Arabidopsis thaliana: one gene and its partners. The protein of the gene in region 3 interacts with the protein of the main gene of each other region in a pairwise test. Each region holds a gene or a part of one and is shown on either strand. Other genes may lie near its edges.

Region 1 (7,691 bases), on a different chromosome or scaffold from region 3:
TTATAACTCAATCGTTTTTGTGCCACGTGAGCGGAAGGATAATACGTCCAATGGGCTAAAAATAAGAGTGGCCCAATAAACAAGGATGTTTGAGAGTTTTGTGTATTTCAGACAATTAAATACTAGGGTTTATGTGTCTTCAATAACAATCTATCGATAGTCTGAAAGAAAAGAGTTTATGAAAGTTGACCTAACATCTGCGCCAAATAGATCAATCCTTGTTCGAAATTTGAAACAGCGACGATGATGATGTCCGATCTTCCACATGATTTGGTGGAGGAGATTCTCTCTAGGCTTCCGTTGATATCTTTAAAAGCAATGCGATCTACTTGCAAAACCTGGAACGTTCTATCCAAACATCGGAGCTTTGCAAATAAGCACATCGGCAATGTAACCGCATCAGGGAAAAGAGATTTGATAATGATTAAAGATTGTAAGGTTTATTCAATTGGCGTCAATCTCCATGGTATTCAGAACAACAACAACATTATTGATCTATCTATAAAGAATAAAGGTATTCTTCACCTAGAAAATTTAGATCTAATATTCAAGGAAATATTCAATGTCTTTCACTGCAACGGTTTATTGTTGTTATACGGAAGCATCACTGATGATAGTATTAGGCTTGTGGTTTGTAACCCGTATTGGGGGAAACGTGAATGGGTCAAACGCATAAATAATTTTGCAAGTTTTGACAAACTTGCTTTCGGATACGACAAATCTTGTGGTTGCCACAAAATCTTAAGGGTTTTCGATAGTTACCCTAATAGACTTGAAATCTACAATTTGAGGTCTAATTCACGGATGGTTTCTAGTTTCCCTCTTAAATGGGATATAGCGTTTATGCAAGATGGCGTGTCTTTGAAGGGAAATACTTACTGGTATGCTAAAGATAGAAGATCAGAAGATTGTTATTTAATATGCTTTGATTTTACTAGAGAGAGATTCGGACCGCGTCTGCCTCTACCTCAACCCTTCATCGATGAATTTTTGGGGAGTCTATATGTGGTAAGAGAAGAGAAGCTTGCGGTGTTAGTAAAGCGGTGGCGGGGTGGCAAATCTGAGATCGATATTTGGGTTACGAACAAGATTGAGCCCGATGAAGTCTCGTGGAGCAAGTTCTTAAAAGTTGATAACACACCAAGATTTTTTCTGACTGAGGGATACTTGATTTATGATGAAGAGAAAGTCGTAGTGTTTTTTAATAAAGAGGAGACAGAGGGGCTCAAATCCACTGTCCACATAGCTTACATCGTTGGAGAGAATGGTTATTTCAGAAGAGCGGATCTCCGTGAACCTCTATATCAACCACTTTGCCGTCTTGTGTGCTCTTATGTACCAAGTTCTGTGAAGTAGTCTCAAAACAGTGGGTCTCGGTGACTCTCTATGCACACCAGGTCCTATGTGTTCTTATGCTCCAAGTTTTATTCAAATCAAGTTAACCAGACCTATGAATTAGTCTTCTTGCTTTCATCTTATTTTAATATTAATTTGTTTCTCATCTCTTTATGCAATTATATAATGAAGATTTATAAGTTATCAAATTACAAAACAGAGAGACAACAAGTGACGAGCAAGGTACTTTTGTTTAAGCAATTCCTTTGTTTTGTTTACTTTATTTTCGGTTTGGTTATATAAACCGACCCAAACCGAAATCAAATTTTCGTTTATGTAACTCGATCGGTTTTGTCTCATTTCTTATTTGAAGTTTTGAACAACCTTATCCTCTTTCTCTTCTCTTCCTCATCATCAGAGATCAGCCATGGCTTCTTCGACTCTCTTCAAACTCAATTCACAGACATTCAAAGCTCTAAACCCATCTCCTCCTTCGTTATCTCCTCCCAATTCCAGAATTTTCCATCTTCATTTCTCCAAATCACTCTCACAACAGCATTCAAAGCTCAACCACAAATCAACCACTACTCGTTTATTCGCTCCTCTCTGTTCCTCTCTTCCTTCACCTTCTTCTTCTTCTCCTCCCCTTTCCAAAGAAGAAGCCATTAATCAAGCCAAAACTTGTCTCCTTTCATGTCTCATCAAACCCTTAAACAACCCAAAACTCGCTTCCCCAAAACTCAGGAAGCTCAAACAACCAAGATTCCGTCTTGAAATCCCAATCCTTGACGATGATTCTCCTTCGTCACTCTCTCAGCTCGCTTTCTCGATCTTTCATGACTTACCCATCTCGAGAAGAGGCTCTAATGTCAAGCTTCTCTTCCTCTGGCCTAACCCTTCATTCATCGATCCCGCCGTTAAAGCTTTCCGGTCAGACTCTATCCACCACATTGCCATGTCTCCGGTCTCAGACTCTCTTAAAACAGCTCTGAGATCTGCTGACGTGGCGATCTTCATGGCTCCGGAGAAATCGCAGCTGGAGGATGTTAAGACCGCGAGTGAAGCTTTTTCTACAAAACCTGTAGTAATGATCAATCCGAGATGGTTGTTTGAAGAAGAGAAAAGCTTTGGAGATGGCTTTATTGGTTCCTTTGAAGTGATTTATGCGTTCACTGGCTTAGAAGTGAGAGGAGTGTTTAGTAAGAGAAAAGGAGTGATCTTTAAGTGTGTAAGAGACGGTGTTGTGAGTGGAGAAAGATGGAATGTTCTCGTTGAAGAAGAAGAAGGTAATGGTACTTTGAAAGTTGTTTCACAATTCAATTCTCGACCATCAATCGAAGAAGTTGAGCTTGTTCTGTATAACTTGATGGCTATGAATTCTCCTATTACCAAATCAGCTAAGTTTCTTAGTGATTTGGTTTCAAATATCACTGGGAAGAAGTAGTTTGTTAGGACTTCAATGTGTATTGATTGTGGATTCAATTCAAAATAATAAGATTTTAATACTTGTTTTTGAAGCAAAAGAGAGACTACACAACACCATTAATGAAAACTAATTCAGATCTAATCTAATGAAAGACTAAGCTACACATTAATTAGCTAAACAACCACAACACAAATCCCTAATCTAATCTTCATCAGCGGAAGGTTTTGAAGCACCAGCTTTCTTGGGAAGAAGAAGACTGTGAATGTTAGGCATCACACCTCCATTAGCAATCGTCACATCTCCAAGCAGTTTACTCAGCTCCTCATCGTTTCTCACCGCGAGCTGAATGTGACGTGGCACAATCCTAGTCTTCTTGTTATCCCTAGCTGCGTTTCCAGCCAATTCCAATACCTACAACACAACAGATCCAATTTAGAAATTAGGGTTTTACGAAATTGAAGATCGAAAGAGTAAAGAGATATAGGGAGAGAAGGGGATAATTACCTCAGCGGCGAGGTATTCGAGAACGGCGGCTAAGTAAACCGGAGCTCCGGCACCAACACGTGTTGCGTACTTGCCGTTCTTTAGAAAACGAGCGATACGACCAACGGGGAATTGGAGACCGGCTTTGCTGCTTCTCGATGTTGATTTCTTAGCAACGCCAGATCCGAGAGTTTTGCCGCGACCCGCCATTTGTGATTTGGGAAGAGAGATAGAAAAAGTTGAAAATTCTCAATGCGAGGGAAATTAAGATAAGCGTAAGAGGACGCTCTTTGGTTATTATATATACTGTGTAGAGACGGTTGAGTGATTCTTATCCAATAATAAACAATCACGCGGATCGATGTTACTGCCGTTGGATTAGATTATGATCGACGGTTTATAATTGGCACGCTTGAATTTACGTTTTTATACTCCTGAATTCATTGTTAGAATTGGGATTGACGGAAATACCCTTCAGTGGGTATAATCGACATGATTTAAATAGTGAAAATATTTTGTAACTCAAACATATTTTCGCAAAATAACTACTAAAATAGTAGATTAATGATATTTTTAGTTTGTTAATTATACACATCTAATTTTAGTGAATGTTATGAATAATTTTAAAATTTATGAAAATCTTACTTTTAAAACGTATAATATGGAAATGTGGTATATACATTCATCAAAATTGTGTGACACAATTTCAGGTTTATCATAGTATATATTTTTCTAAACATGATTAATCAATTTTTAGCATGTCGTATTAATTACTAATTCACGATTACACATTAGGTAATCAACCATATATAGAATCATGTGTTTTTGACTTTGAAATGAAATGTACAATACTAATTTGAGAAATAATACATGATGTGTCTTACTAATTTTCAAAGTGACAACTCATAAACGTTAATAACATGACATAGTTAAAATATATATAAGCAGAGCATGTAGTCAATATCGTCAACAAAAAAAAATAGTTACTAAATCAAAAGAGAATAAAAAACGCTAGAGAAAAAAAGAAGGAAAAATTGTTTTCCGATAAACAAGAGATATAAATACGACAAAGAAGCCACCTCCTTCTTCGCGTCAAACCAAATCAAGAACGCCTTTTAAACAAAAACACAAACACAAAAACAAAAACACTGTAAAAATCAAAACATAAATTATGGAATCTCCGGAGGATAGAAACGGTAACGATGTCCGACAACCGCTGCTAGAGAAAATTCCGGTGAAGAAAGAAGCGGAGGGAGAGGAGAGATTATGCATAGATGAGATGTTACAAAGATATTGCGGCGAGTTTGGGAGGTGGCAGTTGAAACACTTCGTGTTGACGTGTATTGCTTGGGCTTTAGAGGCGTTCCACACGATGGTGATGATATTTGCCGATCAAGAACCCGAGTGGAGATGCGTCGGGTCGGATTGTCGGGTCGGGTCATTGAACTGCGAGTTGGATCCGAGTTCTTGGGAATGGACGGCGGGTAAAGGGAGCTCCACGGTGTCGGAGTGGGGATTGATTTGCGGCGACAAGTATAAAGTTGGTCTTGTTCAGGCTCTCTTCTTCGCCGGCTGCATGATCGGTAAGTTTTTTTTTTCCCTTCTATATTTTTTTTGTGATTTAGGAAAATTACAAAAACAGTAAATTACAGCTGTAGCGTGAAAATGATTTTTTTCACGTCGAATAGTTTTTCTAATTACAGTCAAAAAAAGAAGATTAAACTCTAATCTTGGATTATCTTCTTAAGAAAAATAAATAAATACATAATTAGGAGTTTAGTATAGTTTCTGAGTGTCTTATCTAATTCGATAAGACAAAAAAAAAAATCATTCTAAAATTATGAACTTGTAATTTAGTGGATTTAGCTCTTTACGTGATTATCCGATAATTAATGAATATATCAACAAACAATAAATTAGTTGTTAGTTGTGTGCATAACTTAGCTAGTGTATATCGATCGCACCAATAAATTAGTAAGAGCAGATCAATGGGCACGTTGGCTTGAATCTGGATATTCGTACCACGTGCCTTGATCACATGAATCTTTTATGATTATCCGAATTTTAGAAAATAACACTATAGAGTAAAGATATACCTCACTTTTTTTCCGATATACCTTTCATTTCTATAGTATATTATAAATTTTGGATGATAATGCTTTAAAATTTTAACCCATTAGGCGGTCCAAGTTTACACACGTAAAAAAAATGATTGGCGAAGAAGAAAAGATAGACTTTGATAGGTATGATTGGTGCCAAAAAAAGAAAACAAAACTACTAAAATGACCCAAAAAAAATGTATAATATACGTGTGACTGACTAACGAGTTGATCACATTATATATTATCTTGTTCGCTTTTTTGGTTTAAAGTTATAAAATTCCTTCTTAATTCGTTGCATTGATCTGTAAAGTCGAAACACACAAATCTCTCGCGGCATGGCTTGCCCCTCTGGCCTTGTCTGCAAATAAACATTGGGTTATACGCTTCAGACTTAAATCATGATTCTTTTGTCGTAAAAACATAAGTTCATCCACATCATTTCATTACTTTAAAAAAAAAATTTGAACTATACTTATTGATGAAAGTTTGAAATATGTTTGACATCCCGTAATTGTTTTTACATCTACTTATGGTCTTGGTTAACACAGTATTCGTTAGCGTTTATATGATGATATTAATGAATGATGCTAACAACATTCACGTTCACATTTGACACAAACGAGGCCAAAAACATCTTAACTACATGTATAATTGCACAAACAAACAAACAAAATGATCATTATAATATGACCCACCTAAATAATAGAAAAACCAACAGTTGTTTGCCTTATTTTGGCTAATGTTTAGATTACTTTATAAAAAAGGACAGTTTGGCTCTGGATTATCCAATCTCTACATTTGATACACATTATACAATGAATAGGATATACGAAGGAATATCCAATTAGAGTTGCATACTAGTCAAAAATTTTACATGTAACTGGCATGAAGACGTCATCTTCCATGGTTGAAGATATCGTTTTCATGTCAACAAAAAAAGATTGTGAAACATTGGTCCAACATATCTCAAAAAACAACTTTATGTAGACCATACATGCGTTATGGTCCCGATGAACTTACCAAATCTTTGATAAGTCTTTAACCAAAGTTTAACTACTGTATACCTTTTTCTGATTACATTTTCTAATTACAACTTACAAACATGGCCTAATGATAGTGTACCGACTCAATAATGTGCAGGTGCAGGAGTATTCGGACATTTATCGGACTCTAAGCTAGGAAGAAAAGGCTCGCTAACAGTTGTATGCATTATCAACGCAATCTTTGGTATCGCGACAGCTTTCTCCCCAAACTACTGGACCTATGTAGTTCTCCGTTTCTTGACTGGTTTCAGCACCGGTGGTGTTGGCCTAACCGCGTTTGTCTTAGCCACTGAACCCATTGGACCGAGCAAACGCGGTGTAGCCGGAATGTCAACTTTCTACTTCTTCTCCGCGGGCATTGCAGTTTTATCCGGCATCGCTTACGTTTTCAGATCGTGGAGGGAGCTTTTTATAGTGTCATCGTTACCATCTCTCTTGTTCCTACTCATTGTTATCCCATTCATATCCGAGTCCCCAAGGTGGTATCTCGTGAGAGGCAAAGTAGATGAGGCGATGAAGCTGATGCATTCGATCGCTAAAACGAACGGACGTCACATTCCAGCTGGTGTCACTCTTGCTTTAGACGACGATGTGGAAAATAACAACGGGGAGAGGAATACCGCTGTTGAGGGTTCGCTGAAAGATGTTATACTGTCGCCTCTCATGCGGATGAGACTTGTCATTTCGGTTGCCATAAGTTTCACAGTCTCTATTGTATACTACGGACTAAGCCTCAACGTAGGCAACCTCAAGACCAATCTTTACCTCAACGTCTTTGTCAACGCGGTGTCGGAAATGCCGGCATTTGCTATAACCGCGGTTTTACTAGACAAGTACGGGAGGAAACCGCTGTCCATAGGGACACAGTGGTTCAGCTGCGTTTTCTGCCTCGTTGGATTCTCTGTATGGGGAGCTGGTCCATGGAAATCAGTTAGAATGGTGTCAGGGGTTTTAGGGATATTCGGGATGGCAGGAACGTACAATCTTCTGTTCATATACATCGCGGAGCTGTTTCCAACAGTGGTGAGGAACGCGGCATTGGGTTGTGCGACTCAAGCAGCTCAAATGGGAGCGATTCTGGCGCCGTTTGTGGTGGTTTTAGGGGAAGAGTTACCTTTTGGGGTGTTTGCGGTTTGCGGGTTAGTGGGAGGTGGGCTTGCGTTTTACTTGCCAGAGACGTTAAACAAGCCGTTGTATGATACAATGTTTGGGATGCACGAAGCTGAGAGTGAGAGTAACAGAGAAAGAGGAGAAGTAATATGTTAAAAGAAACAGAATTTACACTTAGACATGGAGAGACAC
Region 2 (8,652 bases), 1.6 Mb from region 3:
CACGCTTGACATTGCTTATCCATGTCTCGAACACGGTCATACTTCTCAAGCTTCAGATGATGATCATGACAAAAGTACTTAATCAAATCATCACCAACTTTTTTGAATGGTGCAACATCTTCGGTTTCGTCAAACTCTTCAGGTTCCCATTCGAGTTCTCTCCCATCCCATACATTTTTATGTGTTGCACACTTGGAATGGACTACAAAAGAGCAATCATCATGATTGCACGTATACTGGCCATAGTTGATATCAACTGTCTCGTAGCAAAGACGACACAACGATGAAGTTGAGGGTGAAAGAAAAGGAGTGTAAAAAAGACGATGAGGGTGACGGGTGATTTTTATGACGCGTGGTAAGTCTATACAATCCTTGTGGACCACGTAATTACATTGAAAACAAGCATAACTTGGTCTCCATTGCTCTACCAACCCACAAGCATCACATGGAAACAAAAGAGGTCGAGGAAGGAAAATTAGTGAATGGTGATGGCTTTTTGGATTTGAGATGGTAGGAAGTGGAAAGCTTTGGGAACAACTAGAATCCAAAGAAAAGTTACAGATAGAACATCGATAGAAAAAGTCAAAACTTCTTAAATCATTTCCACACCAATTGCAGTTACCAAGAATAGAACTATCCTCAGGTATTATTGATGATACGTCGTAGGAATGTATATCGGAATCATGTATGATGCCGGTTTGACGGTCTTGAACACTGAAAATGAGAGGATGTTGTGGGTGATAAGGGTGTGTCATCTTCCTTGGCCGCAAGTAGCAATACTGATCGAACTCTAGATCACATGTGGTACAGAAAAAATAGAAATAAAGAGAATGCCTTATGAATGTGGAGTCTGAGCTTGCAAAACAACCAGACGGAGGGTGTTCACCATATCGACGGGAGAGGGTGTGAGGATGAGATGGATGAGACAAACGACATATTTCTTCTTCTTGACCAGATACTTTGCTAGATATTAATAGCTCTTCCTCTCCGCCATAAGATATCGTCTCTTCTTGGCCATAAGACATTTTTTACTCTTTAGATCTCTTTTTCTTTCTCTAGTATTGTCTTCTTTTTATTGTTATGATCAAGATCAAATACGAGTGTCTATATATATATATATATATATATATATATATATATATATATGTGTCAACAAAAATTAACTAGCACATAATTTCATACGAACAATGATCCACAATACAATACAACAGTACATTAAGACGAAATGGCTACAGGCTGTTTCGATCTACTTTAAAATAAAATATGTCTTTGCTTATTTTGGAATTGTAGAGGGGAGCTACTATCAATTATATATAATAAGTTTCGATTTACTCATTGACTTTTATAGTTTTGTAATATTGTGCTGGCCTTCTTACTTTAAATAAATAATTTTACTGGTATTATGTTTAAAGTATAAATATATTTTATAATTGTTTATGTATTAAATTATTGTAATAATGAATTTAAATGTAGAAGTTATGTAAATTCTACCAACTTTTATGTTTTTTTTATAAATATTTTAAAGATTATAGTTTAATATGTAGTAATTTGTAAAGTTTAAATGACTATTTTTCTAAATATACGATATATATATTGATAATTAATTTAAGTAGAATTATAATCAATGATAAGTACACGTGTCATTAATATAGAGTGTTAGATGATTAATTTTATAAGCAATTTGTGACAAAGAAAAATAGAACGGATTTTTCCTCGTGACATGTCTCCGGTCTGTCCATATAGTTATATTATTAATTTAAAATTGGATCCGAAATGTAATCGTGAATTTATAAAAGTTGTGGCTGTCTTTCCCAAACATGTCTTGAGAGACTATGATAACCTATATGACAGCAATTAACCTGAGTTTATTATTAGTGTTTTTTGATTATTTAGTTTCAATACGTAAATAATCCAACGCATCATATGTCACCCAATAATTTTATACCATTCGGCTCTATGTAGACTTTGGGCTTTGTTTCTTGTTTATGTTTCGGCTAGGCTATCTTTTTTTTTTTGTCAAGATTTCGGCTAGGCTATTTTAGTTTATGTAATTGTGCATGAATTGATTTTTTTCTGCTGGACCGTACATATGGAGCGGACCATGTCTGAAAAGTCGAAGCCATCCAAAAGGAAAAATAATAATATATTTGAGATGAAAGACACGAAGTAATATTCCTACTTACAGTATTAAGTTTGTAATATTCATGGTCCATTTAACACTAACCAAAATTTTCGGCTTTATTAACTTAGGTTACATTGTTGCCTTATGTAAACTCAAACACTTAGATAATAAATGTTGAATCTATTACAAAAGAACTCTTCACGGTCCCAAAAACTATATAAGGCTTATTCCTTTTCGACATTGTCAAAACTTTCAATGTCAGATGTCCAAACACAAAGCCAGGAACAAAAAACCTTCTCAAACAACTTGTAGTACACCGAATCCGGGCAACGATGATCACACTTATAACAAATCGGTCGAGTATGACTATTGTTCCCAAGAATTTTCATCGATGCAGAGCCGAAATAGAATGTGTAACCTGACTTAATATAAACGGAAGATCCGAATATACACTCAAGGTGGATAGTGATACAACATTTGTTGCATGAGTAGAACCATTCTCTTGGATTCAATTCTTTCTCGCATACTTCACACCAATATGCTTTCTCTGCATCTTCTCCATAGCAAAGCGACAGAAGATGTGCATCATATTTGTAGTATAACTCATATGGAATGGTCGCACATCGATAACACATAGCAAATGAGCAAATAGTACATTGCAGATAATACTCATCACGAACACTATCTTTGCAACCATCACAAGAAATGTTTCCTTTTCTAGAATATGATGTGGAGATGAATAAAGGATGTTCATGACTTTTGTGGGTGAAACAATCAGGAACTAAAATGCATCGAAAATCTATCTGAATTGTTATCTCATCATCGCAATCAGTTTTTGAACATTTGTACCTGAAACCAGTGGACTCACGGGCGCAAGTTGAACAACTTGTGGAACTGTAATCGAGTATAGGAGAAGGGTCTAGAACAAGAGGATGCTTATGCAATGCATGAGCCAATTTTCGAGGAAGACCAGCACATACCTCGTGAAGAAAGAAGTCACATTGCACACAGTTGTAGAAATCATAAGAGTCGATACGAAGGATGCACGCTTGACATTGTTTCTTTGCGTCTCGGACACTATCATACTTCTCAAGCTTAAGGTGATGTTCATGACAAAAATACTTGATCATATTATCACCCACTTTCTTAAATGGCACAATATCTTCAGTTTCATCGAGTTCTTCTGGTTCCCATTCGAGTTCTCTTCCGTCCCAAACGTGCATATGTGTTGCACATTTGGAATGGGCAACATAAGAGCAACCTTCATGATCGCAAGAATACTGGCCATATTTGATGTCGACTGTCTTGTAGCAAACTCGACAAGATGGAGTTGTAGGTGGAAGGAAAGGAGTGTGAGAGAGACGATGTGGGTGACGCGTTATTTTTATGACACGCGGTAAGTTGATACAACTCTCATGAACCAAATAGTTGCATTGGAAACAAGTATAACTTGGTTCCAACAAACTAACCAGCTCACAAGCTTCACATGGAATTAAGAGGGGCCAAGGAAATAAAAAGAGGGAATGATGGTGGCTTTTTGGATTTGTAATTGTAAGAGTTGGAAAGTTTTGGGAGCAAGAGAGATCTAAACAAAAGTTACAAATAGAACAATGATAGAATTGAGATCCATCTCTCAAATCATCTCCACACCAATTACAATTTTTGAATATGTAACCATATTCGGGGTTTTTAGATATGATCTCTATTTCAGTGTTTTGAGTGGTGAGGGTGAGAGGATGTTGAAGGTGATAAGGGTGTGTGAGCTTCCTCGGATACACGTGACAAATATCGTGGAACTCCACATCACAAGTGGTGCAGGAGTAATGGAAGGTAGAACATGGTGAGGGTTCTTCTTTGTCGCATGCGAAGCAACCCGATGGAGGGATTCTTCCGGCTCTACGGGAGAGGGTGTGAGAGTGAGTTGGATGAGACAAACGACATATTGGCTCTTCTTCATTAGCAGCCATTTTCTTTTTCAAAGTTTTGGTTAGGATCCAATCTGTTTATCTAAAATATGATTACTTCCATCGTGTGGAGATGACTTGACTAATGTGGACACAACTTATATGATTACGACTAAATAATGTAGACCCAATATACAAATTATGTGAAGTGCAAATTATACTATTAAAAATGACACGAGATTAAATTTAATACAACTTCATTACATGATCTGTCTCTCCAGACTGATATCATCTGTGACAACGAATTAACAAGAATTTCTTTTGGCCAACAAAATTAATTAATTCCACTGTTTATTAATTAAAAGAAGAATACGTAGATACGTAAGAGTTACAGGGTGTGAGCAAGGCCAGGGTAGGGTGGTTTGGCCCCCTTCACTTACCATTGACTTTTAATAGAGTGGGCTGGGCTTACAAAATTTATGTTTGTTATGTATTAGTTGATCATATATTATTTCATAGAAATTTCAACAAAGAATTCATATTTGTTTCATCCTAGCTGATTTGGTGAAAAGTCGTTAATATAAATATATCACTTCACAAACAACAACAAAATAAATACTCCCTTTGTTTTAATTATTTGTAGTTTAACCAAAAAACCTTTGTTGCAAAAAACAACAACAAATTATCTTCTATGCAAAAATTAAATGTATTTAATAATTTTTGACCAATTTTATTTTACAATATGGTTTTTTAATTGGTTGAATTAGTTGTAATTAATGATGTTTTATGTAAACAAATAAACTAAATGAGATTTTGATGATTTAATCTGTGCTCAAAACCTTTAGAGTACAAATAAATTACAACAGGAGAAGCATTACTTTTAATTATTAAAGCTCGTCATTAGTAACACAGAAACAAACAATAAAATGTGATGGCCGTTGTTATCGCTCATCCTTGTCGTCCATATTACTTTGCCTAGCTGATGGACTATATCTGAACGAGGAACGGCCAATTTAGCTAGTTTAGTCCATTTCTTTTGAACAAAGCAAACAATAAAATTTATTTGAATCAATTATGAGAAAGCCATTTTTTTTTAATAATCTTTGTAGAATTGCCATTTTGATTTTGGTATTTTAAATTTGCCACTTTTGCTGAGACAAAAAAAAACAAACAATTTTGCCCTCTCCATTAATCACACATTCACCATTTCGGTTAGTTTCTTCACAAATTCATATGTTTTGTCTAATATATGTAATATGTCATGTATCTATAAAATAGATAATATTTATCAATTAATTATATAATTACTGAATTTCATAAAGTGAAAAGAAATAAATAATATTTTTTTTTTTTTGTCGTCAACTTTTCATTATATTATGAAAAGAGATACATCAAACAGCGTTCCAAGATATTACAAAGACAGAGTTTTGTACTCTAGCTGTTTTTGCTAATCGATCAGCTTTAAAATTAAGGACACGTGGGATTTTTGAAAAACCAATCGATTTGTATCTGCGGCAATATTTTCGATGTCCCGGAGAAATGTTGCTATCGGTGAATACTCACACGAATGTGTGGTTCTGGTTATTGGCTGAAACAGAGCTGCAACATCACCATGAAAGATAATGTCTTCATAACCAAGCCTCTGTAGATGAATCATTGCTAGTTTAAGGGCTTCAGCTTCTGCTTCAAGCGGTGTGCTGGTTGGGGGTATAGACGACATTCCTCGCAGAACAAATTGAGCTTTCCTATCATAGAGGATCCATCCAATGCCTGCACAATCAGTAGGAGATATCCATGATGCATCCACAAAACAGCAATATTTATTTGCTTTTACGATAGTGTTCTTAAAGTCTTCAGATGGCCGCCGTAACACTTATTATTGTGACTATCATGGAGTTGAGGTTTCCTCTGTTGTTGCTCATTGCAGTTTAAACTCTCTTTCCATTGTTGTTGATCAATAAGAGCCTTCTGTATACTGTCCGGGATAGACCACCTCTTGTTATTGAAAATTAAATCATTCCTCATTTTCCAGATTCGCCATCCAATGAAAGGGAATAAACTTACATCCTTTCTTGCGGATTGGTTTAATTTCTGGATAGATTCCAAATTTTGATTAAAAGAGTTCGACATGAGGGAGTCACCTGGACAGAGTTTTATATGTGCTTGCTCCCAAATTTCCTTGCTGACTCTACATTGGAAGAGAAGGTGGTTCACGTCCTCCGAGGCTTCACCACACCGTTGGCATGTATCATCAGTAATCAGTCTTCTCCTCTTTAAGTTTCCTGCAGTGGGTAAGGCGTTATGAGCCGATCGCCACCAAAAATGCTTTATTTTTGGTGGGGCATTTTGTTTCCATATATTTGTAAATACAGTCTGAGCTGAAACCTCATTTGGAGAGGGCAAGGAAGCATGTTGTTGCTGGGAGAGCTTACGTAGTAGATGGTAGCCTGACTTGACAGAGTAGTTTCCATCATGCGTATATATCCATGTAATTGCATCATTTGCTCCTGTTATAGAAGGTCGAATAGCACGGATATGAGGTATATCATTTTGGTGTATGAGTTTGCAGAGAAGATCTTCATTCCATCTGCCTTCAATGAGCAAATCACTTACTTTCAACTGAGAATAGATGGAGTCACATGTACCAACAGGAGGACGGGGAGGATTTAATGGTAGCCAATTATCTTTCCACAACTGAATATTATTACCATTCCCTGCAATATATTTTAGGCCACGAGAGATCAGCTTTGTACCATGGAGGATGCTTTTCCACGCATAGCTGGATTGACTTGTAGCTTTTGCATCCAGAAGTCTCTCCTTTGGGAAATACTTTGCTTTAAAAACTCTTGCCATGAGTGAGAATGGTTGTTGCAGTATTCTCCAACTCTGTTTGGCTAACAAAGCAATGTTAAAATCTTTTAGATCTCGAATTGCTAACCCTCCCATCTTTTTTGGGTCATTGAGTTTCGACCAGGCTACCCACGGAATCTTATGTTTGACTTTTGTATTGGACCACCAGAACCATCGCATAGCACTTGTGATCTGATGAATAAGCCTCATGGGAAGCAAGAAACATGACATACTGTATGTGGGAATGGCTGTGACAATTGATTTAATAAGCACTTCCTTCCCTGCAGGTGAAAGAAGCTTATTATACCAATTATCCATTTTTTGGTCCATTGTTTGGGCTATAAACGAGAAAGCATTTGTTTTATTCCTTCCCACAAACTCAGGCAAACCTAAATATCTGCCAAAACCTTCTGTTTTATAGATTCCCAGAAGTTGACTAAGTTGTTCACTAGTCCTGAAATCTAAACCTTTACCAAACAGAATTGCAGATTTTTGGAAATTAACTGCCTGACCTGATGCTTTCTCGTAAAGCTTAAGCACATTAACCAAGGTCATACACTCTTCCAGAGTAGCTTTGCAGAACACCAGAGAATCGTGTGCAAAAAGTAAATGAGAGATTGCTGGTCCATTTCTACTAGCTTTAAAACCATGTAGTTGTTTTGCTTTAATAGATGCTTGAATTAAAGCTGATAGACCCTCTGTGCATAATAAATATAAATAAGGCGAAATAGGATCACCTTGTCTAATGCCTCGCTTTGGAATAATTCGTCTCACTGGTTGCCCATTGATGAGAATAGAGTACGTGGTAGTTGTGATGCATGTCATAATCCAATTACACCACTTCTCTGAAAACCCCATTTGTTTCATTATCGCTTCAATAAAACCCCATTCGATCTTGTCAAAAGCCTTTGTGATATCCAGTTTTGTAGCTACAAAAGGTTGAACAAGCTTCTTAGTGTGAAGCGAGTGAATAAGTTCATGTGCAATAAGGATATTGTCTGTGATCATTCTTTCAGGAATAAAAGCTGATTGGTTGTCAGAGATTAGAGAATTCAACCAAGGCTTAATCCTTTCAGATAAAGCTTTTGACACAATTTTGTACGCCACATTTGCAAGGCTGAAAAGAAATAAATAATTTAAAGTGAATAATAGAAATCCAAATTATTCTTAATTAACTATGTAATAATAATATTTTGTATCCGGTATACTTTGATTCCTTTGGTTCCATGTTTCCTTAGGGTATAGAGTTAACTATTAAGTTTATGTTTTATAAGTATTTTATTTTTAGTATTGCTCGCATTTATTTCTATTAGAGTTGTTGTACCCAAGTTTATTACAATACAAATAAAATTTATATATAGAAAAAATATAGAGTGACACAGTTATTTGTTATGTAGTAAACTATCAAAAATGAGCCGACAAAAAAAAAAAAAACTATCAAAAATGATAAAAATATTGTTTAGAAAACAAAAATTCATAAATGTGTAGGTTTACAAGGATAAAGAAAAGTCATTTTCAGTGGCCAAAAAAGGCAAATTTCTTAAATTCATTAACAAAATGACAAATTTCTAAAAAAATATAGACGACAAAATAGCATTTTCTACAATAATCCCTAGTTTAGCCACGAATAACAATAACAAGACATGATCCCTCTTTATCTTAACTAAGACGCGTTTGGTTTACGAAAGTAACTTTTTAATACTAGTACTTAATTGAAAATCTAGATAAGGAGGCTCCCCCATGTTCACGGCTTCATTCCCTAGCATTGCCTGTTCT
Region 3 (8,135 bases):
AAAATTGTTGAAATCTAAATTGACAATAGTTATAATAAAATATCCAAAATTAAGTGGGGTCATATTGTAAAGAATATTTCATTTTCCACCTCCTGTTTTGACGTTTCTCTTCTTTTTTTTCCAACAAAAAAAACAAAAGCAATTAAATAGTGTTTGTCGTTTAGTTGGCGGAATTCTCTCAGTTGAATTTTGTTATAAAAATCTTACAGGTATACAGGTCTACTGTCCATAGATCCGTTAAAAGTTTTACCTACGGCCATTAATGACCGTCCGATCTTCCTTTGTTGATGATGACGAGGACCAACTATCTCTGCACTTTCTCGGTTTCTCCTTATTTAACTACTTTTAATATTACTCCAAATTCACACCCCATAATTATGCTTCTTTTTGCATATTTGATCAAAAACTAGTTCTAGTGACAGAATTAACCTCAATTTCCGTAAACCAAGTTTTAATATATATCAAATGCAATACTCGATATCACACATTATTCACTAAATGTGGGAGACTTTCATATTTTTTGTTTTGTCACACACTATAATATGAAGAATGAAAGTAACATGATATTTTTGTTCTAGGTGTAATTTAATTTCCAAAACATTAAAAATTCCTGACACAAAATACTGTACCACCGTCAATTTGGGGGGTAGATTGAAAGAAAATAAAGTGTGGGGCTCACAGATAAAAACGAATGTAACAGTTGGGGTCTCATTAAATAGCGGTGCAAATACAAACTTCTCTATAACAAAAATCTACTACTATTAAAAAATAATTAAATTCGAGAGGCAGTTTAGGTGAGAAGAAACTGAGAAAGTTCGGTCCGAATTCTAATCCCACTTTTGTCTCTCAATTTGTTTCCCCTTTCTCTCTCTCTCTCTCCTTCAAATTTTTTTAGCGATTTTTCTGGGTTTCATGTAAATGTGAGAAGTAGATAGATTCTCAACAAGAAAAAAAGGTTTTTTTTTTTTTTTTTTTTGGATTCGTGGATCAGCCATCTTCTCGAAAGATTTGGGAAAGATCCAAAGAATCACAATATTTTTTCGATATTTAGTCGAAAGGAATTTAACATGTCAGGTCCACTTGATCGATTTGCAAGACCATGTAAGAGATCTCAATCTTCTTTGTAATGTTCTTGCTTCTGGGTTAGCTTTTTTCTAGGTTTACTGTAGCTTAAACTTGGAATTGTGTCTAATATAATAATGAGAATCTAAAAATTGTGTCTCTTTGCTTTCTCGTGTCTTCAATATATGTTGTTGAGCTGGTTAAATAATGTGTATTGCTTTAGATAATTTTTAATGTGTCTCATCAAATCAAAACAGCTTTCACTACAGGTTTTGAGGGATTCTTGAGCAGTGATGAGAAAAAGGAAAGAAAGTCAGATTTTGAGAATTCAGAGGATGAGAGGAGAACAAGAATCGGTTCCTTGAAAAAGAAAGCCATTAATGCCTCTACTAAGTTCAAGCATTCTCTTAAGAAAAAGAGCGGAAGAAGAAAAAGTGATGGTCGAGTGAGTTCTGTATCCATTGAGGATGTGAGGGATGTCGAGGAGCTACAAGCTGTTGATGCGTTTCGACAGTCGTTGTTAATGGACGAGTTGCTTCCTGATAGACACGATGATTATCATATGATGTTGAGGTTCTTGAAAGCGAGGAAATTTGATGTTGAGAAAGCTAAACAAATGTGGGCTGATATGATTCAATGGAGGAAAGAGTTTGGTACTGACACTATTATTCAGGTATGCTATTAAATAGAAGATAGTAGTTTAAACCATTGTTGTCTGTTTTTGTAACGTTTTATTTCTCTCGTTAGGATTTTGATTTCGAAGAGATTAATGAAGTTTTGAAACATTACCCACAATGTTATCACGGTGTTGACAAAGAAGGTAGACCTATTTACATTGAAAGGCTAGGGAAAGTTGATCCTAACAGACTCATGCAAGTTACAAGCATGGATCGATATGTAAGATATCATGTAAAGGAGTTTGAGAGGAGCTTTATGATCAAGTTTCCTTCCTGCACTATTTCTGCAAAGAGGCATATTGATTCAAGTACAACTATTCTTGATGTTCAAGGAGTGGTAAGTATTTTCTACAGTTCATGATATTAGTTGTGAAATGAGTTTTTTTCTCATGTGTTTATATAACTTCATATTCAGGGATTGAAAAACTTTAACAAGTCTGCTCGAGATCTTATCACACGATTACAAAAGATTGATGGAGACAATTATCCTGAGGTATTAGTTAATTGGAGCTTCTAATACTTGATCTCAGGTATCAAATGCTAATCTTGGCTTTGTGGTATTTCATGCAGACTCTCCACCAAATGTTTATTATCAATGCAGGGCCTGGATTTAGGCTACTCTGGAACACTGTCAAGAGCTTTCTTGACCCTAAGACATCTGCTAAAATTCATGTATGAGAGATCTAAGTTATATCTCTATTTAAAAGTCTTGTCTTTGATTATATAGAATTCAATATGGACTATTCTATTGTTTATGTAGGTACTCGGATACAAGTATCTAAGCAAATTGCTTGAAGTCATTGATGTCAAGTATGTGAACCTTGACCCACCCTTATTTGATCTGTTCTATCGAAAGCTGCACGTTTTTTTGTTTTTGCTTATGTTCAAAATGGTCTGCACTTTTTTATAGCGAGTTGCCTGAGTTCTTGGGAGGTGCATGTACTTGCGCAGATCAAGGCGGTTGCATGCTTTCTGACAAGGGACCTTGGAAAAACCCGGAAATTGTGAAGGTCATTTACTTAGACTAATCTCTTTTTGGATTCTATTTGTATCATCCAAGTTGGAATCTGAGACATTTGGTTTTCTTCTCATTATTTCAGATGGTGCTTCATGGAGGAGCACATCGAGCGAGGCAGGTGGTGAAAGTGTTGAACAGCGAAGGGAAAGTCATTGCTTATGCAAAACCTTCATATACATGGGTACGTAGTTATTAAATCCTATAACTAGTCAATCTTTAACTTGTGGCTGACCATATTGTGCCTAAACTCTGCTCTGTCATAAACATAGATAAAGGGAAGTGACACATCCACTGCAGAGTCAGGATCTGACGCTGAAGATATCGGTTCTCCGAAGGCTATAAAGAGTTTCTCTCATCTCCGCTTGACACCTGTTCGTGAGGAGGTAACTTTTTTCTCTTTCTTTCTATCTTCTAGTTGGGGAAGTAGTAGATGTTTATCCTGAGGCTTTGCAGGCAAAGATAGCTGGTGAAACAAGCTTGGCTGGTAGTTTTCCGGGTTATGACGAGTATGTACCTATGGTGGACAAAGCCGTTGACGCCACCTGGAAGGTGAAACCCGCCATCCAGAGAGTTGCCTCAAGAGGTTAGTTAGTTAGCTGCTATATGCTTTACGTACCAGTAGGCTCCGGTTTAGAACCAAATACTGAAGGAAAAGAATTTAACCTAATCCTTGTTTACATAGGATTTATTTTCTTATTAGGATTGTTTTGGAGTTGGTTATAAAAACAGAGTTTTTTTGGTCTTTCTTTGTTTGGTGATCTTAACTCTTATCTGTTTCCTTCAGGAGCTTTAATGTCTCCCACCGTTCCAAAAGATCATGAAGGCATCAAGGCTCGAGTCCTAGTAATGTTCATGGCATTCTTGATGGCGGTTTTCACATTCTTCCGCACTGTAACAAAGAAACTTCCAGCGACTACTACTTCTTCCCCAGCAGAAACCCAAGGAAACGCAATAGAACTTGGTTCTAACGGTGAAGGAGTTAAAGAGGAGTGTCGTCCTCCTTCTCCTGTACCAGACCTCACGGAAACTGATCTACTAAACTGTGTGACGAAGAAACTGACAGAGCTGGAAGGTAAAATCGGAACGCTCCAATCAAAGCCAAATGAGATGCCATACGAGAAAGAAGAACTGTTAAACGCAGCCGTCTGCAGAGTAGACGCACTTGAAGCAGAGCTCATAGCTACTAAAAAGGCCCTTTACGAAGCTTTGATGAGACAGGAAGAGTTACTTGCTTACATTGATCGTCAAGAAGAAGCTCAGTTCCAGAAGATGAAGAAGAAGAAGAAGAAACATCTCTTTTGCTTCTGAAGCAAAGCCAAGAAAAACCAGCACCAGGCATCAAAATCTCCCTCTTTCGTAATTCGCTGTTCTTAAGTATAAACAACAAAACAAAACAAAAACTCTTATATCTGATTTGATGTTAAAGCTAATACAGAGAGCTCTGTTTCCTTCTGTGATTATGAGCCACTTTATATTATATGTTTTATTTTTATAATCATAAAAAAATCTGTAACTGTAAACTTGTTAATGCAAAACGAAAAAAGAGTATCGAAATTATTAATCAGGATTCTGTTTTTTTTTAGGATTTTGTTTTTATCCAGATACAAGATATTGTAGCCACATATCCCATATAGTGATTATCTCTTAACGTATCTCAAAAGTTTTTGCATTTTTCTTTACTTCATATTTTGTTTTTGTAAGATCAATCAGTTTTTATGAAGAGAAAATGGAGATAACAATATCCCAATTGTGCTCTCGAGTTAAGTTTTCATCATCATCATCATCATCATCACTTTTCTGTTTCTATGGAAACAGTAATAGAAACAACCTAAATGGAGCTGTTTCAGTAAACTGCTTGAGAGAGAATGAGCAGATCAGTAATATTAGCTTCATTGCGAAGAAACCAAGAAGTCATGCACCGGTGGTGAGAACAACACGCGCCTCCTTGGATGAGAATCAATCCCCAACTTCCGGAGGAGAACGGTGGCTTCTCAAACCAGTTGGTCAGAGGCTATTTTTTTGTTTCTCTAGGTTTAATATCAATGAGCTTCTTTAATCTTTTTGAGTCTTGAAAGTCTTTTTGCCTGAAAACTTATAGGCGATGGAGACACAAGACACATTGGTTACAAAGTGGCAATGCCTGCTCCTTTTGAGATCTCCTCTGTAAGAAACTATACATTCCACTAGATTGATTGATTTTGATGAGTTTTTAGTTTTTGCTAAGATCACAAAAATGGGTATTGAGCAGGGCCAAGTTACCATCGGACGGCTACCGGAAAAGGCTGACGTCGTGATTCCTGTTGCCACCGGTATTTCTCTGTTCTTGTGGTTTTCGGTTTTCTTGAATTTGTAATCAAAGTGAATTTGGTTTTAATATGAATCAATTTGATATAGTTTTGGTTTCGGGTTTAGGTTCGGATTCGGTACTAGATTTTCGATTGTAGATGGTTTATTGCTTTAGTTTGGATCAGAATCCAACACTCCTAGTCTTTTAACCTCAGTGTCAGGAGTCCATGCGACAATCAATACGAATGAAAAGAACCTTCTTGTGACGGATATGAACAGCACCAACGGTACATTCATCGAAGACAAACGTCTAATTCCTGGTGTTGCTGCTCCTGCCTTTCCCGGAACACGAATCACCTTTGGTACACCAATCTTTTCGCATGATTTTCCATCTCTCTCTCTGTGAATGTGATGGACCGATCAATGAGGTTAAACTCTTTGTGTGACTTGCAGGAGATACAAATCTAGCAATTTTCCGTGTTTTCAAGCTCCAAGATAGTGAAGAATCCATAGAGAAACCAACTACAGAGTAACACAAAACCCGAGAATTGCTTATCTTTGCTTGCAATTAACCGGTTTTTGTTGAAATTCTAAGTTGTTTTACAACATTGTTGATTTATATATATATGAACAATAGCTTTTTATATAATATTATAACATATATATTTTTGTTTTTGGTACGTTACAAATTAGGTGTGAAAGAATTGATAAGTGGTAAACATAAGCTTTCAGATATTTCCAGAGGGACAAACAACAAAACATTTACAGAAAGAAAATTTCCCACATTTTTATCTGTAAAAACTCTTCACGAATAATATTTATGTTTATATATATAATAAATATGGATTTATATATATTTTTCCAGGTTTCTTCAAAGTCTTGAGGCATTATCAAGTCTTTCAGAATCCAAAGAACTGAAAACAAAAACAAAAAAAACATATAAATACGTAAACAAAATCAAGTACGAATAAATCTTGAAAAAGAGTGTTTTAAAATGTGTTAGTTTGTTGTTACCTTCTTCTTCTTTTTCTTCTTGTCGATATAAGCCATTATCACATGCTGCGTTGCCATGGTTTCCTCCAGCGTCTGAATTTTCAACAAAATAAAATTGATTTATAACAGGATTATGAAAATGGTCTAAATTTTAGATCAAAAGAATTAAAATAGCTTTTAACTTTTATAAATGAACAAAATAGTCTAAATTCAAACTTCTAAACTCTAAAATAAGAAACTAGTTATGGAGGCTGTTTAACTTTGTACCTTTTTGGTCTGAGCCAACTGAAGCTCTAGCTCGTCGACACGGCTGAGAGCAGCGGTGAGAATCTGTTCTTTCTCTGGCGAGAACGCTGCAGGCTGATTGTCCAAAGACCTACATTTCTCCTCCAACTCGGCCATTCTCTTCACCATCGACATATACTCTTGGTTTGACACCATTGTAGTCTCTGCTTTGTCCACTTCACCACCGTAAATGGCAGCCTCAGTGAGCTTCCTTGGCATGTTCTTCGTTAGCCTCACCACAGTCATTAACCCCATCACCAAAGACATCACTCCCCCGAATAAATAACCTTCTCCTCCTCTCCTCTGCGATGGCTTCACGGCAGAGTATAAATCTGCGACGGCAAGAACACATTTAGGTAATAAGTGGTATTCTTGTTGAAGAGTGTAGCGGTATAGTATAATAGCAGAATCTCTTTTCAAAGACATGAAACTATGATGAATGTTTGGAATGGTAATAAAAAAAAGAATCATGTTTTCAAAACGTGAAAACACGAATAAATTTAGTGTAGTGTCAATGTTTCAATGTAGTGTACCTTCAGGTTCAGGATAGTTTGACTTGTGGAGATTTGTAGGCCATGTAGAAGCATTCACAGTTTTGTCAATCATCGGTATGAATTTTGTGTTCTCTGCATCGAATTTGTTCTTCTGCCAATAGGATTTTCAAAATCAGTCATACAGAGAAAGAGAGAGCTAAAGAAGTAACCTTTATTATTGACAAAAGAGAGAAACTCACCGCAAAGGAATCAGATTTCTTCAAGCAAAAATATGAGAATGTTAGATATTACTGTAAATTTTAAAGATCAAAGATATTTTTGTATTTTGCTTTTACCATTGTTGTGTTCTCGTCCACTGAGATTGTCTTCTCTTCAATGTTTGACAAAGTCTTCCTTGGGCACTTTCCTTCTCCGTTCTGAACCATCTGTATATAGTTCAAGATTCAGCTTCTCAGTTCATCGTTTCGTTAAACGGTTTTCGAAGATTCTCTACTTATCCTACAAATTACCTTGAAGATGTCAGGGTCGTTCCATGGACCTTTGTCAGAACGCATACATCCACCTTTGTCTGCACAAGTGCAGTTACCACCCAAGAACTCAGGAAGTTCACTAAACACAAATAAAGAACAGATAGTTTTCAGATTACGAATTTGCAGCTAAAATGCAGAGTTATGGAGCTCTGTTACTCTCTTACTTGGAGTCGATAATCTCAAGCAGCTTGCTTTGGTATTTGTTGCCAAGAACCTGTACATGAGGGACATGAGATTTCGGACAACCGTAGACCTTAAAGTTTGGATCTTTGAAGTGACACAAAACAGAAAAAAAGCTTACGTGAATCTTTGCGGTGGTCTTTGGGTCAAGGAAAGATTTCACAGTGCTCCACAGAAGCCTGAATCCACTACCAGCGTTGATAATGAACATACGGTTCAATGTCTATATGATCCATAAACACAAAAACAATTCTTAGTGCCATTTTAACTTGATAGAGATAATTACAAACTATTTCAAAACCATTAAGAAAACAACATAGTAACCTCAGGGTAGTTATCGCTATCGATCTTCTGGATACGCTGAAGAAGATCCCTTGCAGCCTTACTGAAGCTCTTCAACCCCTAGAAATCCAAAACAATACCAGAAGAATCACTCACTCATTCTCTCTTTCTCTTTGATCTGTATAACCAAAACAAATGTGGCTAGAGATTAGAGTGCATACCACGCCTTGCACATCCAAGATGGTGGTGCTCTGATCAATATGCTTCTTGGCAGCAATGGAACAAGCTGGTAATTTGATATTGAAAGTCTTCTCAAACTCTCTCACAT
Region 4 (8,299 bases), 460 kb from region 3:
TCTGAAAATTTTATATTTAGTTTTAGTTTTGTGGTATTTAGGAAAAAATCTTTTAGTAGTATTTTTGAAAAAAATAATCAAAAATACTAAATGGTATTTTCCGAACAAAATCATTTTAGTGGTCTTTTTTAGAATTGCCTTTTAATCTATGTTTTCCACGTCCTCATAACCTACCAATCAAAGCCATAATATTATATCGAAGAAGTTTTTCTACGTAAAGTGAGTTTACAATATAGATTTTGCTGTTAATTTCCTTTTTTTTTAATAATTAAAATACAATAAATACCATAATAATCACTCTTTGTGAAGTTGTCTCTGGAACCATTTTCCTATCCTCGTGAATCATGTGTGATTAATTGTTTTGCCTCATTATTGCATTAATATTATTATTAATAGTATTTTTTAGGTCAATGCATTCTTATTATAATATACCGATTGTTCTTATATATAGCAAAGAGATCAAAACTAATTCTAGGACCTGGGATCGATTAACCCAATAATAAATATTTTTTATAGCGACAACATATGTGATATAGTGGTTTGTTTAAATATCATCCATGTGTCATGCCATTCGTAATTAAATTTACAATATGCATTGCCAAAAAACAAAACAAAAAACACATTTGTTGTGAATGTAATCATTTTCCATACAACTTACATCCATATATGAAGGGATAATAATTGTTTTGATAATTTTGGTTACGGGCTCAATGAAGTCTTGATGTCTTTTTTTCTGTTTTTTTTTTCTTTTTGTCTTGATGTCTTTATTCACATCATTAATTGGTGAATTGAAAAAAATGTGGTTCAGTGTACCTCAAGCATACAATGTTACTATACATAACAAATATTTATCACCAACAGTGTTTATGTGGATAATAAATAATTTTTTCCCATATTGCAATGCTTTTTTTTTTTTTGTGTAAGCACCATATTGCAATGCATATTAAGATGAACAGAGAGAGTATTAGTTATACGTCTTGATTAATTATAATTCAAAAAAGAAATAACAATTTGAGATCTGTACGAATATACAAACAGGCAAACACCAGATTAATTAGTAGTACTCGTACATGTCATTACTTTACTCTTTATCTGAATTATTTAATACAAATAATTTAAATGGTTCGTGAATAATATATAACAAAATTGAGTAAAAATGATTTCATGATATATCCACCTTTAAGATGCTATTCTTTCTGGAAAAGATTGAGATCCATTTTATTAAAGCCTTTATAGTTTATATCAGTTAATGATCTCCACCCTCCATGTTACTCCTTACAAATTTTATTTATTGTTATTGTCTACATATTAATTGCGGAGATTTATGATGATAAACAAATATCGAATGAACCTTCTCACTACAAGGATCGTTTGAATAATTTAATGGAGTACATAAACTCCACATTATCAAAGAAAGATTTTCAGTTCACTCTTAATTTGTTTCCAACAAAAACTTTTGGGTATTTTTGAAACTCGTCAGATTGAACATGATTTGTAGATTGTAATCTAAGTTGTGGTTATGCTAGTATTATACCACGCTATCACCATCTGGACTTTTTTTTTTGTTTATAATTTATGTTGTTAAAAAACTGAACCTTCAAATAATTTTTCTATATACATGAAAAAAACAAAAATCATCTCCACAAGTTTAAAACTGTGGTTATGGTTTTATGAATGTTCGTTAGTAAATATTTCTAATAAGGAAAATCCGAATTTCTAATTTTTTTTTTGTATTATGGATGTTCGTTATCAATTCTGGAAAAAAATTTATACCTAACAATTGATTAAGACTACTCTCTCAAGTCTTAACGCTTTTAAAATGTATTTCGACAAAAAAAAAAAAACGCTTTTAAAATGTAGATGAATGGTTACAAATGCATTTACTTACATAATGCAATGTTTGAACGACGATTGATTAATTCCTTAAGTTATCAATAACAATGATATTTAAAGGTGATGTTGACTACGTAATAGAGCAAACACGTGATTTCTCATGTATACATATGGCCACGCTTTTGATAAACTTTCAACTGCAGTGGTTAGAGACTTTAGAGTTAAATCGTCCCGAGAGTGTTTTTTTCATTAAATATAACAATTTTGATTACAAACTAGTGTCCCGTGAAATTGACTTCTTCTTTTCCCACCGAATTTAGTTTTTTCATCTGCATGCTCTGAATGATACTATAATAGCAAATTAGACAATATAATTAAGGTGAATCAGGGAAAACTATCATTAATCAAGCATATTATGGCACACATGCTCTTGTGGTTATGTCAAAACCTCTACGATTATTCACTAATCAAAATCCAAGACAATGGAAGCTGAAGTAACATGTTCGTGTCGATATTCAAAGAGATGGAAACCATAAAATATATAGTAATTAATTATTGTGAGGTATTCACAGTGGTTGACTATCCTTTAACTTTTTTGTTTGTGGCAAAAGACAAGTTGTTGACGGAAGGAAAAAAAAACTTTTAACGGATTGAATTGATCACGTGATATATAGTACATGTGATTCATGTGATCACTCCTTTCTCGATATGAAGGGAGTTTTTAAATTCGAAACTTATTAAGAGAAGTAATTAGGCAAAACATTTTGGTATATGAGCCATTTAAAAGCGTTATTAACAGAGATAAGACATGTGTCAATCCGAAGATCACAAAGTTAAATGTTATCAAGCTATAGCTGACCCTTGATCGTGTGACTATTTATATCGGAAATCAAGAAATAAGAAAGAAATTTTAATAAGCTTAATTTATTGTAATTTTATTCTTAATCGATGCGCTGAATTATTATTTTTATTAAAAATCTTTATCTTAACTTTATAATTGATTAGTATCCCAGATTTGGGGTGAGTATAAACGTATCCAAGAAATGATTTTGTTAGGTGGTACTCAAAGGTTTTGAATTGGCTTTTAATCGTACCGCGTCGTGCGGCAATTATTATTTGGTCACGTCCCTCCGATACTGCCCTTGCCCTATGACTTCTAAATAGTTATTGGTAAATAGTAATAAATTTGGTTGAATTTAGCGTCATTTTTTTTTGAGCAAATGTAGCTTTTTTTTTTGTCGAAAGCAAATGTAGCTAAGTTGTTGAATTTGCTAACTACTGAAACTTTCAAAATAAATTACGAAAACTATAATTGTATATCTTTATTGGGGCAAAACTATAGATAATTAAGTTAATTCTTTTAATCCATTTTCATGCCCTACTATTTTTTCGTAAATATTTCAGAATTTTGTAACATTGACCTTCGATGTAATTTTGCTTTCTACAATATCTTTTTAATGTCAAGCAATCTTCTTTTCCTTTTTTTTTTTTTTTTTGATTGGTTAAAAGGTTTGCTTTCTACAATATGTTTCTTGTTGACATGAATGTGAATTTCATTAAGAATTGAAGAGGGTTTGTCAATAATTACAAAATACTTTAACAAGTCAGAAGGCATTACGACCATGCTAAGGATAAGGCCACATTTGTTTTTTTTTTTTGGACAGCGGATAAGGCCACATTTATTTCTGCCACTTAATAAAAAAACAATTCTGTTATATTTTAAATTCATTATTAACAAACAAAAAATGTTACATCTAAATTAATTCTCAACGGTCGTTATCGGAAATAGCTTTGCTAAAAAAACACATCAAACATGTGGGCACGTGTGAAAAAATCTCAAGAAGAAAACGATAGCAAATCCACGAAACGATTGTGTCAATGTACAGTCTCAGGTTACTAAAACTTGAAAGAAGACCTAAACCATTGCGAGTCTCAGGTTCCGTACAAGATCCTTAAGTATACTCATCGAAAAATCTTTATCCATCTGCCACACAAAAAGTTAAGAAAGCATAATTGTAGATTATCAGTTTCATTAATACATCAATATTATATTGGATGAACTACGAGTTATCCATTTTAGTATTGCATATATATATAGTTATTAATGATCACCTGTGCAAGGACTGTGATGTCGAGAGTCGAGTCTCCGAATGGCAATACGATGCTATTTTCAATGCGCAATTGAAAGTTTTCAATTGTGTTTAGTATGTTGATCATGCACCCTTTGCTTTTCTCGCAAAGGATTCGGATGAGAATGTCATTTTGAGAAATTTTCGCTTCGATTTCTGGTAATGCTTGATCGAATTCAATATGAACTGAAGGAGAACATGATAGGTTAGGTTCCTCGTCGAAAAACACTTTAGATTTCTTTACAAGAATCATGGATTCCATTTGTCTCGTTGCTTCTTTTTCTTCCTTGAGCGTTCTTAGTTGTTCTTGGAGTTGTTTCATACGCGAGATCGCGTCATCAAGAATCGTTACCTTGTCCGCCTAAAAAACCACAAGATAGTTTTGTATTCTCAAAACCAATTGACACTGATGAATTATTATTTTTTCTTCACTATGAAAATATCTATAGTTAAATATATAACAAATTTATCGATAATTTACAATTTAAATTTGCAATACCTTCTTAAGCCCGGGAAGGAGAGCTGAAAGAGCAATGAATTTTTCAGAAAGCTTCTCACGGCGCTTTCTCTCGGCTAAAACATGTTCTTTCGCAAGAACCGGAGATCTTGTGCCATGAGAACATGTTTTTCTTTTGGTTCCACGACCAACCAATTTATCCATAATGATCTCCTCCGCGGCTGGAGAAGAAATAACATTACTAGAGAAATCAAAAGAAATCAGTTGTTGCTTGTTGTTGATCTTCATCATAGGCTTCACCGCTGCCTTTGGCTTCTCTCTGAGGCACTCAAAATGCATTTGATGATCAAACTTTGACGATTGATCAGCTCTTCGTGAATTTGATAAAGATTCATCAGGTGATAAATTATTTTCTTCGTAAATATTAAAGTCGAAATCAATGTCTACTAGTGAGAAATCGGGTAAGAAAAAATCTTCATCCATACCCGAATATGAAGTAATAATCGATAAAGAAATGTCAAATAGTTTCCTGATTAAGACAAAGATAAATCGAGAGACGTCTTTATTGTTTTGTCGTAAAGGGTTTATGAATAGAAAGTGTTTTCAGGTATTCTTACTATATATTCGACAACGAGACGCGGCTTAAATTATTTTCTCCACTCCATAATTATGTTGACCAGATTGTGTATATAATGCATAAAACGTGACGTATATGTATAAACTAAACATATTATGATCGAAACTAGAAGTCTTCTCATTATTGTCTATAATGATCGTATAATTTGTTGGCTTCTAGTGGTCTGAGATTCATATACGTGTTATGAATTTGAAAAAAAAAAAACTACGTGTTATGGACCCAAAAAAAAAAAGTAAGAGAAGAGAGACGTGTAAATAAAATAAGCACGTGTTTTTGGTGTTGAGCTTATTCCCACTCGGAAACAACAAGGATATAGAAAAACTCTGTAAAGCCTCGTCCCCGTCTTCCCGTCCATCTAACAACCTCATTACTTTTTATAAAGGAAAATATACAAAAGTTATACTTTATTATCTTTTATTTATTATTTTAATTGTAATTTTATCCAAAAAAAAATCATATGAAATGTTAAGTTTTATACCGTTTGCAAATTTTTCATCCAGAAAATTACATTGTTAAATTGAAAGAGAAAAAAAACAAAATTTACTTACGAAACAAAAAATTACAACAATTTTTTAATGAGTTTGAAAATTCATGAACATATCTCGACTCGTTATACTGCAATAAATTAGATTAATGGTGGATATGATATCGAGGGATATGTTGCAGAAGAAGTTATGATACCATGTGGATGTCGACATCTATACATTTATAAACAAGTTGTGTTTGATAATTAATCGATCATACTGTTTTGTCTTTAAACTCAATTTGATTCCGATAAGGCGATAACGACCCCAGACATAATAAATGTCCCTACTCCCTACCAAACGGGTTATTTAGTCTTAACTGCACTAATAAGAGGCCAGACCAGGTTGGTATGATGACGAATTCACATATACATCCACTATCCAGCCCAAAAATGCAATGGTTCTGGGCCATGGCCATTTAAAAACAAACATTTCATATGAAGGATTTATGTAAGAAAATTAAAAAGTTAATATGCCTACAATATAAGATCCAAAATTAAGGCTTCCAATTAGTCTGGGTCGGTTTAATTCACTAGTTCTCTGATGAAACGATTATGTACTGATTCGACTAATTCAATGTAATGACTAAACAAAAAAAAAATAAAAATGTAATGACTAAAAAACTGGATAATGAATTAATATGAGCAAAAAAAGAATTAATATGACAAACATATTTTTAACTAAATTATAAATATCAAAATTAGAAATTGTTCAATTGGTACTGATAGTTTTTTTTAAACAGTACCAAAAATATTAAAATTATAAATTGCCTTTGTCTCTAGTAATATTGGACCTAATTGTTTCTTCTTCACAAGCAATTTTATTAAAAAGGTGGACTAGCTTTAATTTGCTCATCATCCCTTCGACAAAAACCCAAAAATTGAAATGGTCTCGGCATTCGCAATTTGAGTTTGAATATATTTTTCCGTAAGCAGATCAGGAACTTGCTCTCCAACGCAAATTCGGAACGTTAGGAATCCTAAGTCTAACTTAGGATAAACGCCAATGTATGCGGCATGGAATTGGTAAGCTCTTGGAATATTCTTTCCGTAGTAATGCGTACTACAATTATATGTGTGTACATGTCTATCGTCACGATATATTTGATAATAAAGATTTGGTACGTATCTCTTGAAATGAAGTCACAACAGTGCCTTTTAAAAAGGTCAGTAGAATTATAAAATGGAGATTTTGTTAGAAAATTTTGGATACGAAATCTGGATAACATATAATATTTTTTTATTTATGATATAAAGTGAGACAAATGTGTATCCATGCCATGGTCCTTCCGGTTGGTGGTGCGGTGGGGACGGGATATGCCGCCGAAATATCATAAATCCAGCTGACGACCAATCTTTTACTCACACACTCTCTTTTCCTTTTTCTTTTTTATATATCATATTATTACATTAACACACTATTTCGTCAATGAGTTTGGATAGGACCAATCATTTTCATTTTATTATTGTCGTCCTAATCAAACTCACTGTTAAGGGGCCTTCCAATTTTGTCTTTTTCCTTCGTCCATAATTCTAATAGTTGGGAACTAACCATTTATATTATTCTATTTTATATACAAAAAAAATAGATTTTAGGTATGAAAATTGTTAGTGTTATTGGTTAGCCACTGGATCCGTAATTATTTGAATTCTTCATATAATATCAAAAACAAAAATGAGTTATTATAATTATAGACTACGTACTAATTTTTTTAGTTTATCATATGTTGAATTTCTTCAAAGCGAGAAGAGAGAAGACAACAAAACAAAATTCTTATAAGCGAGCTCCTACTATAATTTAATAAGATATTTTCCATCAAAACCCAAAACCAAGTTAGATAAAAAAATTCTAACAAATGTAAATTATATATAGTATAAGCGTTATTTCTTATCTAATACCCCTACTAGTTTCAGAAATATACCAGTAGCCTTTCTCTTCCCATCATTAAGGACAATTATGGTCCAGAAACAAAATATCATGTAATTAAGATTGCTGTTAGCCTGTTAGGTACTTAAGTTTATGTGACCTTCTAGGCATTTTGGTTGGACTTTTTGGACCTGACGAAGACAAAACAAAACTCCAAAGAACACTTTTGGTTTTCACATTTGTTTGACCTCCGTGAAACGAGTTTCCAATAGAATAAGGAAAATGCCACGTTTTTAATTCAATTAAATAACTCATGGCTCATGCATTGCTTTGGTCGCCTGTTTTTAAGGAATTTCCACTATAACTATAACTTTTGCTTTTTACTTTTTTCCGTAAGATGTGAACTAAATCATGGGGAGTGGAAATTAGTTTAATTACTTATAAAATTGAGGTCTACTCCCACGTTTTCAATTCAATTAAATATTTTTTGTTTTTGTTTTTGTTTTACGATTATAGTTTTTTCTTTGGATTCAATTGCTATAGTTTCTAGAAAGCTATATATGTATATGTACATTCTGATAATGTGTGAATTTTCTCATACATAAAACTAAAAAATTTCAATAGATTAATATACGTATAGAATCTCAAACACTCCTTCATGCTTTGGTAAAAGTTGTCTGCTTTATGACTTTTTTCTTAAATCTAGCCAACTGAAGGTTTCTAATTTCGGTCCTCGTTTTAAAACGTTACTTTTGACTATATTTAATTAAATAAATTTAAAAAACATAATGATTAGCAAATGAAAAGGTGCGACTGAAAAAGTATTGCATGAAAAATTGATTTTATTTTCACT

Evidence for each region.
Region 1: the proteins of AT2G21530 (region 3) and HTA13 interact in a two-hybrid assay, tested with the Arabidopsis thaliana proteins (one large-scale study listed by BioGRID).
Region 2: the proteins of AT2G21530 (region 3) and AT2G17600 interact in a two-hybrid assay, tested with the Arabidopsis thaliana proteins (one large-scale study listed by BioGRID).
Region 4: the proteins of AT2G21530 (region 3) and AT2G22760 interact in a two-hybrid assay, tested with the Arabidopsis thaliana proteins (one large-scale study listed by BioGRID).

Annotation. Positions count from the first base shown.
Region 1 is NC_003074.8:7,225,235-7,232,925, reverse strand, and holds HTA13 (histone H2A 13), read right to left. Parts: upstream 3,537-7,691; 5' UTR 3,455-3,536; coding exon 3,266-3,454; intron 3,173-3,265; coding exon 2,963-3,172; 3' UTR 2,780-2,962; downstream 1-2,779. Other genes in the region: AT3G20690 (F-box and associated interaction domains-containing protein), read left to right, coding at 244-1,356; AT3G20680 (plant/protein (DUF1995)), read left to right, coding at 1,763-2,779; OCT4 (organic cation/carnitine transporter4), read left to right, coding at 4,416-4,827, 6,487-7,655.
Region 2 is NC_003071.7:7,652,131-7,660,782, forward strand, and holds AT2G17600 (Cysteine/Histidine-rich C1 domain family protein), read right to left. Parts: upstream 4,090-8,652; coding exon 2,347-4,089; downstream 1-2,346. Other genes in the region: AT2G17590 (Cysteine/Histidine-rich C1 domain family protein), read right to left, coding at 1-1,025.
Region 3 is NC_003071.7:9,214,889-9,223,023, forward strand, and holds AT2G21530 (SMAD/FHA domain-containing protein), read left to right. Parts: upstream 1-4,363; 5' UTR 4,364-4,483; coding exon 4,484-4,760; intron 4,761-4,855; coding exon 4,856-4,920; intron 4,921-5,005; coding exon 5,006-5,066; intron 5,067-5,258; coding exon 5,259-5,405; intron 5,406-5,496; coding exon 5,497-5,576; 3' UTR 5,577-5,720; downstream 5,721-8,135. Other genes in the region: AT2G21520 (Sec14p-like phosphatidylinositol transfer family protein), read left to right, coding at 1,068-1,101, 1,320-1,735, 1,810-2,076, 2,155-2,232, 2,310-2,411, 2,500-2,549, 2,650-2,749, 2,840-2,938 and 3 more; SFH3 (SEC14-like 3), read right to left, coding at 5,943-5,957, 6,058-6,129, 6,304-6,653, 6,855-6,966, 7,055-7,072, 7,151-7,240, 7,325-7,424, 7,510-7,559 and 3 more.
Region 4 is NC_003071.7:9,674,615-9,682,913, reverse strand, and holds AT2G22760 (basic helix-loop-helix (bHLH) DNA-binding superfamily protein), read right to left. Parts: upstream 5,071-8,299; 5' UTR 4,903-5,070; coding exon 4,462-4,902; intron 4,324-4,461; coding exon 3,946-4,323; coding exon of another isoform or gene 3,910-3,945; exon of another isoform or gene 3,818-3,909; coding exon 3,749-3,817; 3' UTR 3,412-3,748; downstream 1-3,411.